Linked DNA regions of Ovis aries. The protein of the gene in region 1 purifies or fractionates together with the protein of each later gene. This does not show direct contact. Links are inferred from orthologs where the notes say so. Each region holds a gene or a part of one and is shown on either strand. Other genes may lie near its edges.

The links.
Region 2: the proteins of PARD3 (region 1) and PARD6B purify together in Homo sapiens (affinity purification with mass spectrometry; 5 studies listed by BioGRID and IntAct, counting the BioPlex papers as one, with this or other methods). This does not show direct contact. The link is inferred for Ovis aries from reciprocal best matches to the Homo sapiens genes PARD3 and PARD6B.
Region 3: the proteins of PARD3 (region 1) and PRKCI purify together in Homo sapiens (affinity purification with western blotting; 5 studies listed by BioGRID and IntAct, with this or other methods). This does not show direct contact. The link is inferred for Ovis aries from reciprocal best matches to the Homo sapiens genes PARD3 and PRKCI.

What each region holds. Positions count from the first base shown.
Region 1 is NC_056066.1:17,894,927-17,899,187, reverse strand, and holds the start of PARD3 (partitioning defective 3 homolog), read right to left. Parts: upstream 2,854-4,261; 5' UTR 1-2,853. UniProt on the Homo sapiens protein: Adapter protein involved in asymmetrical cell division and cell polarization processes. Seems to play a central role in the formation of epithelial tight junctions. Targets the phosphatase PTEN to cell junctions.
Region 2 is NC_056066.1:78,706,278-78,710,376, reverse strand, and holds the start of PARD6B (partitioning defective 6 homolog beta), read right to left. Parts: upstream 2,807-4,099; 5' UTR 2,591-2,806; coding exon 2,525-2,590; intron 1-2,524. UniProt on the Homo sapiens protein: Adapter protein involved in asymmetrical cell division and cell polarization processes. Probably involved in formation of epithelial tight junctions.
Region 3 is NC_056054.1:217,793,441-217,797,086, forward strand, and holds part of PRKCI (protein kinase C iota type), read right to left. Parts: intron 2,363-3,646; coding exon 2,186-2,362; intron 1,741-2,185; coding exon 1,643-1,740; intron 1,001-1,642; coding exon 914-1,000; intron 1-913.

The DNA.
Region 1 (4,261 bases):
TCCAAGTCTCATTACCTTGGACATATGTGCAGGCGAGGAACCTGCATCAGCTTTTAGGATGATTTTCAGCAGAGAAGAGAGCGACAGACAGACAAAGCACACAGTCACCACGAACACCGAGACCCGGGCCAGTGAATGCACGGGGTCTCCTTGTCACTCGGACTTGCTATAGCTCGCTGGGCCCCTCCTGGAAACCCCGGGGAAAGCTCACCCAAATGTCAGTGCCTGCTAACATCTACCCTGCACAGCAGCAGCCTCCAGTCTCATTTTGTCTCCTGCCCTGTCTCTCCACGGCACTCACAACAGTGTCTGGAAGATGTGCATGTTTACAGTATCACCCTAATCAAGCCTCAGGACCTGATTCACACACTCAAGGAGCATCTACTCGATGGCAGGCACTGAACAGACACAGGGTTACAGCAGCAAATGGTCCCTAGCCCCAAGTCACTTAAACACAGCCCCACACCCTAAAACTCATCGGTGTTACTGGTGACCCAATACCAAAGGTCAATTTGTATTCCTTTGCTAACTCATAGGTTTCCAAGTGTGTTCGCACTTAAAATTTTTCCTTGAAAATCCCTAGTGTGACTCACAAACTTATCTGGCTTTATCTGGTCAATTTCAAATTGATTTGAAATGGGGGAATTTGAAAGAAAGGGCTTCAAGATACCTTATGAAATATGTGAGCAGATTATAGAGGTTAACGCCATATCGTTTCCTAATCCCTTAGATACACAGTTAGTTTGCTGTCCTTGTAAAGTTTTCCGTTATGAGGCATTTGAAATTTAGTTAACTGTGCCTTCAATGTACTACTTCTAAGAAAATATAGTGCACAGTGTTCCCAAAGAAACAAAACAAAATGCTAAGCTGTGCAATCGAAGCACTAAAACAGGAAATATAGCAGGCACAGACCCAACATATTCTGCATCATACCTAAAGTCTCCGATAAAAATCCTGCATGGATGCAAAGAAACAAATTAGCTGTTTGGGAACTCAGGCAAAACCTAATTATACAACTAGTAATTAAAGCATGAAATGGACTACCTCAAACAACAGTAAGACATGTCACTATAAACTTATCAGGCAGGGTGGGAAGACAGCAAAACAGAAGCAAGGCTGGTTTGTGAAGCACTGAAGATGCACAGATACAGTGGACTGGGCACAAAGGCAGAGCTTTAATGACACAGGCATGTAGCCCGTCTACCAAGAGCAACAACGAGAAGGCAGTGAAAAAAAAGACCCCATGGACTCAGTGGCCCAACGATGCAGTCATTTCCCACCTGCAGACACTCGAGGCCATGTGTGTAGCAATGAAGGAGGTACGTTGTCACTGAGGGTCACACATTGCTCAAGCAGACACAAAAATTGAACACACTCCAAATAGCTCTCCTTTTCAAAGTGGAGGGAAGATAAGCATTTTCACAACCACCATAATCTGATCTTGAAAGCAACTCATCATACAAAATTAAAACTACCTAACCTCCCCTACCTACACCATCCTCTGCTGAGCACGTGTTTACAGACACATGTCTTGGCAGTAGCAGAGTTCTGAGCTGTCAATCCATCCACCTTTCCAAACACAGGGAGCCTCCTGATGGCAGCAGGACCACGCTCTGCACCATCCAGATTAGGAAGCAGGGAGCAAGGCCACAGGCCCATCCAAGCTAAAGACTCCTGCCAGCAGGAACAGTCGAGGATAGGGAAGAACATCCACTCAGCGGCTCCTAATGACTGAAAACACTGCGCTCTCATTACCCAGTTTAACAGCTGCAGGTGACAGGCTGGCATGTGACACGCCACCAGCCAATGAAAACCTTAACACTCAGTCTCAAAGTTGAGCTTGTGTTTTAGGATAAAGGGGTCCAGCCAGGTCTATGGAGGCCCGTGCCCGCCAAGACTTCAAATCAACTTTGGGAGGGAAACCACAGGTGTGTGGAAAGTTCACTAACAATTCCTAGGTATCAAAATTAAATGCCAATCAAGTGGTACAGGAATTACAAAAACAAATAGAGACAAAGAACACTTCACAAAGGAATTACGCCCCCTCAAGTGGGGGACGTCTTCAGACAAAGGTGAGGAGGCCAAGATGTACATGGCATGTTTGGACAGTGGGGAGTAAAGCCCAGACAGCACACACACACACCCCCTCAGCACCTGTCTTGTACCCGACTCCTCTCTTCACAGGACCGGGATGTGGAGAGCTGAGGCGCACACACAGGAACTCTGGGGGCCAGGCTGCAGAAGAGGCTCTCTAAACCTGAGCGGGAATCACGGACACTCAAGCCCCCAACCCAAACATCATCTCCAGCTTCGTGTTTGCTCTAAACAACTATTTAAGCAAGCTGCCACCCACAGAAGCTGCAGGTGTGGACCCACAGTTCGAGATCCAACAAGCATTTTGAAAGACCGCAAATCACACTGGTTAAAATCCCAAAACTAAGGATTGTGGGATTATCTTGGGTTACATTCTCCAACCCCTCACCTCTCCTCTTTTTAAAATGAAATCCTATATGGGCTTAACAGTAAAAGTCCTTCAGACACCCCCTCTCAGCCCTGCAACAGCACTTCCTGTTTATCAACAGACTAAAGTGAAAAGCAGGTCAACAAAACTCCACAAGGAAAACAGAAAACCCGTCTGACATGTGCTATGTGAGCCAGAGAAGCACCCCCACCTTTCAGTCACCAGCCCCACATACTGGCGGCCTCAGGCGTGTCCAGCCCAGCCCTCTGACCACCTCCCAACACCAAGACAGGGCTCTGTTCACATCACAGCAGAGCCTGAACCAGCACACAGGAGACTGAAGCAGCATAACATCAACATATCCAAGCATCTGAACACCAGAGCCCATTCTTAACTAAAAATCTCCAATCAACAAACAAGGGGCAAACTCCATTTGGACCAGGTGAGTATTTGTTTTGACACAAAGCGTCTCTGGGGCCCATCTCACAGTCACATGACATCCCTGCAAAAACCTGTCTCCATTCTGGATAGAACCGCACACCAGGGTACTGGCACCAAAATTTCAGTTTATGGTGTAAGATATATGGGAAACCATTGCTCCCACAGTAAATATAAATCAAGTGTAGACTACTGACACTCGCTTTTCTTTTTTTCCCCTTACTTTTTGGGAAAAAAAAAAAAAAAGTGCCTTGGAATTGATGCCATTTTGTACCTTGTCAAGAATTCTTCTCAACGCACCTAAAATAATACCTATATATACACATATAAATGCCACTAGAGTCCTAAAATTGCGCCCACTGATTTAGGAAAGCAAAACTCATCATAATTTAAATAAGATAATATGCCTTTAAGGACTGTCACTGCCATTTAATGAGAAGTCACAATGTTATGAACTAAGAACTTTTCAGACTGATTTCAGGGCACTTGACGCAGTTTTGAGCCCCATCACAGCAGAAGGACAATGGAAGTACCTTGAGAAGGGCGATGCATTAACTCTGAATCTACAGCAAATATTCACGCCCCCTTGACAAAGCTTATGCAAAGTAATACAACACTGAAGCAACTTGACTAGGTTACATGTGAATCCTAAGCCAGGTTCACTCTCCACAAAGACCAGTGACAACCAAATGAAATCAATTCCAGGGCTGAGGAGGCTGCATTCTAAAAATAACAGAATTCTAACCTTCAAATTAGGTTTCTTTCTATCCATGCTGTTTTTGAAAACAGTCAAACAACTGTGGAAAGAATACAGTGTAAATTAAACCATATGAAAAGAAGGAAAGTGATGGAGGCTAATGCTGCAGGGATGTTTGACTGGCACCTGGGTTTAGCAAGATGGCAAGCAGGAGGACACAAAAAAACTGACCCCTTTTCTCCAAAGACAGGGTGAGCATGCTAAGTTGGATGAGGCAGGGCAGGATTGGGGCTGAGAGGTGGTGGGAGGGGGGTCCACCTCCCTGGGAGTGTCCAGTGTGCGCAAGGGATGAGCAAGTGATCAGGGAACTCAATCCCCACAAGATCAACAGGACAGCAAGGCATTGAGGTTCCACTGCTCAAGCCACAGAGGCTGCCGGAGCATCATCTCCTGGAGCTGTGAGAAGCCACGCTTTCACCATCGGGACAAAACTGAAGAAGAATGTGAGAGATCTAACAAGTAGGTGGATTCAGTAACTGATGGAAGATACAAACAAAGCATTAAATATTACTTCCAATCTGCGTTAGATGAAAAAAAAATGTGTACTGGGGTTATACCAATACCTTTAATGAAGCATATATTAAATTGCAATCATATAAGCTGTA
Region 2 (4,099 bases), about 61 Mb from region 1:
TTACCACGTGAAAAAAAATACAAAAATAGAGATAAAATTAAGACTCAATCAACAACTATTCAAACTTTTTTTTAGCCTGGTCTAGTTTGGCCTGGTCATGGGGATGGACACCCATCACCCAGCATTTTTAGGTACAACACTTTAGAAATGTAAACTTGATTTTAGTATTGGTTCCCCATGAATAATAACCAGGAAATGTACAGCTCAATGACTATTCCAGGTCTTTGACATCCAAGACTGCTGAAGGACATCTCCTTGATTATTAATAGCTCTCTCAACTCTATAGATACAGGAAGATAAATGTTACCAGAAAGTTACTGTAAAGAAAAGTCACATGGTAACTGGTATCACAACTTAACTATACTTATATTTGCATGATCCATTACTTTATTTGTAGCATTTTCTCCTTCCATGAGCAAAGACATGACGTTGACAACTTGCTTTTTATGTAGAAGAAAAAGAAATCCTGAAATGTGGATCTGCATACCACAGAGTTGGGGTCACAACCTCTTCCTTATCAACTTTGTAAAAAGCTGTAATATTACCACCAAAGCAGTGAAAATGGACATATTGTTCCACCTATCTGTCCAAATATTGTTTAAATGGTGAAGATGTCAAGTGCTTTTCTTTAACCCCTTAAAAATAAATGTACAGTTAAAACACAAGGTGTCAGAGACGCACTGGAAACTGTACTTCCCCTGTGCCTACTGATCAGCAGCTAGAATGAGTGGGACCCTTGATTCTGTTTAAGAGCTACGGTTTACCAGAAGAGCAGGCCAAATATATAATGGGTAGTGTGGGAAAGATTCACAAACCAGTTGACAGAAGAGAAGCATGGAAAGCCTGAAATTCTAGTCCCTACACGCTCAAGGTTTCCTAATCTGAAAGATAAATTACCATTTGACTGTATTTAATCAGAGCACCTAGAATCCCTACTCATTTTTTTCCTATGATAAAAAGTTAAAGACTTGCTACCAAGATTAGGACCACAAACTGAATTTTAAGATTACGCAATATCGTGTTTTTCTTTCCTTAACCTCAACTCCCACAAACCCAAACTAGATTTATAACAGAAATGCTGTGAGAAGGTTCAACCATTGGCCACAGAACCACTACTACCACTATATGCTAGAGGAAAAACTCGCTATATATTTTGTTATCTTAACTCTTAGTTCAAGCATGTCACTTCAATTTGCCATGGCAATTCCATGGAGGACACAGGAGACAGTGTATTTCTGAACCTGCTATATTTCTGTTCTTATTAAGCAGAAGGGTTTTTGAAATTAGTACCTACTGTGATACCAGTTAAGTTGAAAATGATGTCTTAAAATGTTAAAAATGAATGCAGATCTCAGTTATGGCAACTTACAGGACTTCACTTATCAACTCCAGATAATAAAAACCCTTCTACCCCAGAGAGCCTTCCTTACTCTCCTTCACTGAAAATCACTCCTTGATTTTGCGTTCTCCCTTCTACCACATCCCTGTTATCTTATATTCAGTAAGGTTTCATTATTTTTGAAGTTAATACGCTTTTCCTTTTCTCCTACTCTTCCCTGTGTCTTGATCTTTCCAACTCTTATTTTAAACGTTCAGGGGGCTCAGCTCCGCGTGCTCTCTTTAGTATTCCAGAAGGCCTAAAACTTATCTTGTAAAAAGGGCTTTAAGGTTTTGTCATAAAAAGCAGAGCTTGTTGAAGTCAAAACCTTTCTGAGCCCCTGTCTTCTCCGAGAATCAGACTAGATTATCTAAGTCCCTTCTGGCTCTTCAATTCATGAAATGCTTGCTTGAGAATGTTCTTGGGGCTGCCGATCGTCTTCAAATTCCAGCTCAAAACCTCCCTTAGAAAGCATTCCCTCACTAATCCCGATACACTGTCCTGCTCAGGGAGCCTTGCAATTTAGGAATTCAGAGGATACCCACACGTTGTCATCGGCAGATAGGCATACCGTTGGTCAAGAGGGAAAAAACACTTGACCTGAAAGAGTAGCAGGATGGAATGAGAAGGGCATCCAAACTCAAAACTGCTAAGTGCCACTCACCCGAAAGGTGACAGTGTTCACTTTACAAGATTCAATGCATACCAAAGTTCGTGTTCGAAAAATCCCTACAGGAAGCAAAGGCTAACTTTTACATTTGGGTGACTACGGATGTTTCAAACTCTTTACTCACATGCCAGAAGGCAGAATTCCTCCAAACCTTTCGTACCACGTTGCGCTCGCTCAAATGCCCCCCCATCCTCGGGTATGCCTTGGGCCTGACTCCCATCCTTGAAGGGGAATGATTGCTCACGGAAGGGGATTAAGCGCTCGGTGGGGCTCCTGCCTTACCTGGGGGCGGGAGCGGACACAAGGGCCCCCCGCCGCCAATCCTCGGCAAGTTCATTCCCCACCGTCTCCAGCCCCCAAGTCCCCCCAGCGCGGCCCCGGCGGCCCCATACACCCGGCCAGCCCCTGGGGGCCCCAGGCCCGGTCACTGCGGCCCCCCGCCCCCGGGGGCCCCCAGCTTGCCCGGGCCCGCGCACCTTGCTCTTCACCTCCATGGTGCCCAGGCAGCCGCTGCCCGCCCCGTGCCGGTGGCCGCGGTTCATCCTGAGGCCGGGCCCGCGGCGGCCTCCTCCAGCCGGGCCGCCCCTCGGGGGCGCGCGGGGCGAGTGCGCGGCCGGCGGGCTCGGGACGCGGCGGCGGCGGCGGCGGCGGCCCGGGCTCCTCCTCACAGGCACCTGCAGAGGGGCGGCCGCGGCTCGCGTCTCCGCGCCAGGCCCCGCTCGGCTGGCTCCTCACGCTGCAGGACCGAGGGTCGGACTGGCGGCGCGGCGGGCGGGGACGCGGAGCCCGCCCTCCCGGCCTCGGCGGCGGCCGCGACGGCGGAGGCGGCGGAGGGGGCGGAGCGGCGGGGACACGCGCCGCAGCCTCGCTCTCGGCTGCCGGCCCCGCGCGCGCGCGCGCTCCCTCCCCTCGGGCCGGGCCGCCGCCGCGGCGCGTGCGCGCGCTCACCTGCAGCCTCCGCCGAAGCCTCGGCAGCCCGCGCTCCGCCCCCACCCAATGGGAAGCGCGCACCTGCGCCCGCGGCGCCAACCAATCGGTACCCGCCTCGCGCCGCGCGTGGGCGGGGCCTCCTGCTCGAAAAGCCCGCCTGCCGCCGTTCGATTGGTCCCGCGCGGCGAGGGAGGGGTGGGATCACCTGAAGCCGGGAGGGGCGCTCCGGACCCCGCAGGCGAGCTCCAAAGCGCATGCGCGAGTCCTGGAGTTTCCGCCCAGCGAAGGCCGGCCGGAAGCGCGAGCGCACCTGGAGACGCGCTGGGATGGGTGGGCCTTTAGCGCACGCGCGGGCGCGCGCCTGGTTGCTCTGTACCCGGCTGGAGCTCGCGCTCCGCCGGGGCGTGGGGCACTCTTCCCGGCTAGTTGCTGGGCGCTGCGGGGCTGCAGGCTTTCTGCACCGCCTTCCACTTTGGGATGCTGCAGCCTCCTACAACGCCCCTCCGTCACCCATTTGCGTCTAGTCGTCTGGCTGCAACTCGGATTGCAAAATTCCAGTTTTCCCGCCTCTGTAACAGTAACTGGAGAAAAATCGCAGGGCTCTACTGGCTTAATGTCGTTGGTAGAGACTTTCTGCAGTCCAGTCAGGTCCCGTGGGATCGAGTAGGCGCTGGGAGGGCTGGGAAATGGGCAAAGGCCGGGGATGGATCCTCGAAGGTCCGTACTTCTAGATCGGCCCTCCAGGGATTCCCCGCCCCCCTTGTCTTTTAAATTTATGTTTAACCTTTGAGGATCTTCCTCTCCCTCCAGCCATTTCTGGGCTATTCACTGTGTCCACCAGTGACAGCCGCCAGCTTGTGTTTTGTCTGTCCCTCCTGTGGAATGACCAAGCTATGTTCTTGATAACAGAAGACTGAATCCTTCTCTTTAAATGCTCAGAGCCGAGTTTTTCCTCTCAGGGATCCTTTGCAGCACTGGCAGTGCTGGGGTGGTGAGGAGGAGAGCCCCAGAGCCCCCCACCCACCTGCAGAGGGGCTCATCACAGAACTGTAGAACTCTCCTGTGAGCTGGACCTGGGCCTGCGGAGGGCAGTTCTAACCTGAAATGGCCAAGAACAGCTG
Region 3 (3,646 bases), on another chromosome or scaffold:
CCAACCTTTGTTAAATACACATACAAACTCACTTGCTTCCTTTTGGCATTACTCTCGTGAAGTGCAGAAGGGTAGAATTATTTCTAATTATGAGTAAAAAACAAAACAAAATATGGCACTGACGGATTAAACTTCTTATCCAAGGCCATGATCCTTCCCCACCAAAGTCCTCGAAAAACTATTTACTATCTTGTATAATAATATCAAATTAAGGGCAAAACAAATGATATTTAATACTCTTTCTCTTATTAATCAACATATATGGAGTAAGAGGGGGGAATGCCAAAGGCAGAATAATTCAGAAACTATAACTATGGAAGAACAGTCCGAATTACATCATAGGTTAAGAGGAATTGTTTCATTACGCTCAAGTATATATGAACAATAACCTTTATTCTATTTTATTTCATTTTATTGGCTGTGCTGTGAGGCATGCCAGAGGGATCTTAGTTCCCTGGGATTGAACCCATGCCCCCGGCATTAAGGGCGCAGAGTCTTAACCACTGGACCGCCAGGGAAGTCCCAACAATCATCTTCTAACGAAAAACTGTCAGAGATCATTGCATAATAAGATTAATATGTTTATATATTCATTCATTATTTCAGTGGCTGATACTGAATAGGCAAAATATTTGAAAATAATTGAGCTTAGTCGACTGAAGGCTTCCCCTTGAATACTGTTTATACCTCTCAACTGCTTATAATTAGATTATTCTATATGTAATATATAATGCTATATATATAATATTAAAATGTAAATTAATTTTCAGCTCAGCCTCTACATAACTTACAGAGAATTAGTTGGAATCAAAATAAATGATTTATCTACTGTTTTCAACCACCGACATACAAAAAGTCCCAGAACTACTCCTACCAAAATCCAACACAAAGAAACAATAAACACAAAACTTACCTGGCATGCTCTTCAGGAAGTTTTCTTTGTCGTTGCATATGAAACATTAAATCTCCTCCATTAACATACTCTATAACAAAGAACAATCTAAAACACAGGAGAGAACACGTGAAACCAAGATCCAAAATAAGGCTGTGTTCACGTCTGCAGTTTAAACACTACAGAGACCAGTCACAGTACAGAGAGCTCTACAAGATAAACCCTCAACAAATATTCCAGGAATTTGGTGGAAACAAAGGGTGACTGGAGGAGAAAGCTGTTTAACCACAGAGGATACAAGAAAGTAAACCAGAAAGATAGTAATTTTGTAACTTGCTACTTTCATTCTGGAGTAGTGCCACTTACAATCCAGAACTCCCACCCCAATCCAATTTTAGAATGTGCAGTATAAGTCATTTCCAATCGTCATTTAAAGTGAAAGAAGTTAGGATTTACCACCTAATTAAACTCTAGGAAATTTTAAGTCCTAAAACTAGAATTTTGGTGATATTTAAAAGGTTGGATATCTACTTTCTCCTGTCATAATTCTGACTTTTTTTTGGTGTAAAGCAGGTAATTTCCTAATGCTGATCCAACAGGAGTTGCCGGCAATTATAAACACAGTACTGTTGTGTCTCCATGTGATTTCCACTTCAGGAATTACTGTAAAATAGGTTCTTACTGTATAATAGACCAAAATGTTCTTATTGTGTCAAACCCAGGAATCATTCCATTATCTTTCAATCTTACCTGCTTTCTGTCTGAAAGCAAGAATGCAGCCCAACAAGAAAAGGATGATTGGACGCCTGTTCAAAAACATGTTTCTCTGTCTGTACCCAGTCAATATCCTATTTTAAAATATGAAGGAAATTTATGTCAAACTAGAATGACAGTATCAAAACTATGGCAAATTTGTTCTTAGTAATTCTATTACCATAAATGCAACTATTGACTAACTGGGCTAAACATCAGAAACATCGATAATCATGAAATAATAATTTATATACAAAGAGAAACTACTACCCAGCAAATCTTTCAATATTATTAAAGAGTCTAGCAAACTTTTACAAAGCTCAAGTACTCTCCCTTGATAATAATATGGTTTGATGTTTATTTTTTTAAATCTAATAATCATCAGACAACTTTAAATATATCTTATATATTAAGCAGTCTGAAGCATGTATTTAGAAAAGCACACTAAAACAGTAAGGCACAAACACTGACATTTTTTCTGATATCATACACTTAAGCCAATGTAATAGTTTAGAGGCAATAAAACATCGTTGTGCTCACCTCATCATCATTGACAAGCTCTTTTTTCACAACTTTCATTGCATAAATACGATCTGTTTTTTTTAATCGCACCAACAGTACTTTAGCATAACTTCCTCTTCCTATTACTCGGAGCAAATCAAAATCCTGAAGACCTAAACTGGAAGAAGCTTTGCCGCTTTCCCTGGTGTTCATTGCCTGTTGAGAACATTTATATCAAAGAGCTATACCTGAAGTATTTTGCATAACACAATATACTTCTAACACCCAGATACACCTGTAAGATTTGTAAATATTTTCTGATTTAAATTCTTAATTATTTTCTTATATCAACCCAAATGATACAATTGCACTACTTAAGAGATAGGATAAATTCATGAGTTGAGATCAGAGGGGTGATGTTTGGAATGGAGAAGAAGCTGAAACCTGAGAAACTTTAAAAGATGTCTTTAAAAGAATCTGATAACTTTGGGGTATGGAGGCAATGAAGATAGAAGCATTAAAAAAAAAAAAAAAAGACACTAACTTTGGTGACCAGGAGATTGGAGACATCACTGATAGAAAAAGAAAGTATGCACACAGAATAAGATTGGCAGAGTTGATGAGATAATGAGCTCAGTTTTTCACACTGAAGTTAGAAGTTACAAGTGAGACATCAAGATGAGTCAGCTAGGAGCTTAATGTATGAAAGCTGAGTTAAAACTATACGCAGAAAGCAAGCATGAGGCAGCTCAGCTAATGTAAAACATTCTTATTTACACAATATCAAGGCTCCTTTGGGATGACAGCCCTGTAATTCATTCAGAACCAGAAACTTAGGCTTCTGATTCTTCACAAAGAAGACGAAAGATAATCTTTTATTAGATGCCTGCAAAATTGTCAGCATACAACCAACAGATGTACGCATGAGAATTAAGTGTGAATTCTCTGAAGTAAAGTATATAAACAAAAGCAAGGAGCAACTTTCAGAAAGAAACTAGTAAGCACCAATGCGGGGGTGGGGGGGAGAGGATTATGAAAACTGAAGGAGAATGATGATTCAAAAGAAAATGTAGAAATAATAATCTGACTTGGGAAACAAGGATAAATAAAAAGGAGTGAAAAAAACCAGATTAGGGCAGATTAAGAATGCAGAAAATGGTAAAAAAAGATAAAACAATGTATAGACTAAGTATGGTTAATAGGAAACCATAAAAGAATCAAATGGAGTGAAGGTAACAGTTTCTTCACATAAACAATACTAAGTCTGAATGAAATGACAGAGCCAGAAAACAGTGGAATGTCACCTTTTAAAGGGCCTAAACCCCCCCACTCCCGATGTTCTATAATCCTAAAGCCTGTAAAAATACCCTTCAAAATGAAAGTGAAATAAACACATTTTCAAAAAAACAAAAAATAAAGAAATCCATCACTAGTTGTTCTCACTAAAGGAAACACTGAGTTTTTCAGGAAGATGATCTCATACGGAAGCAGACACACAGG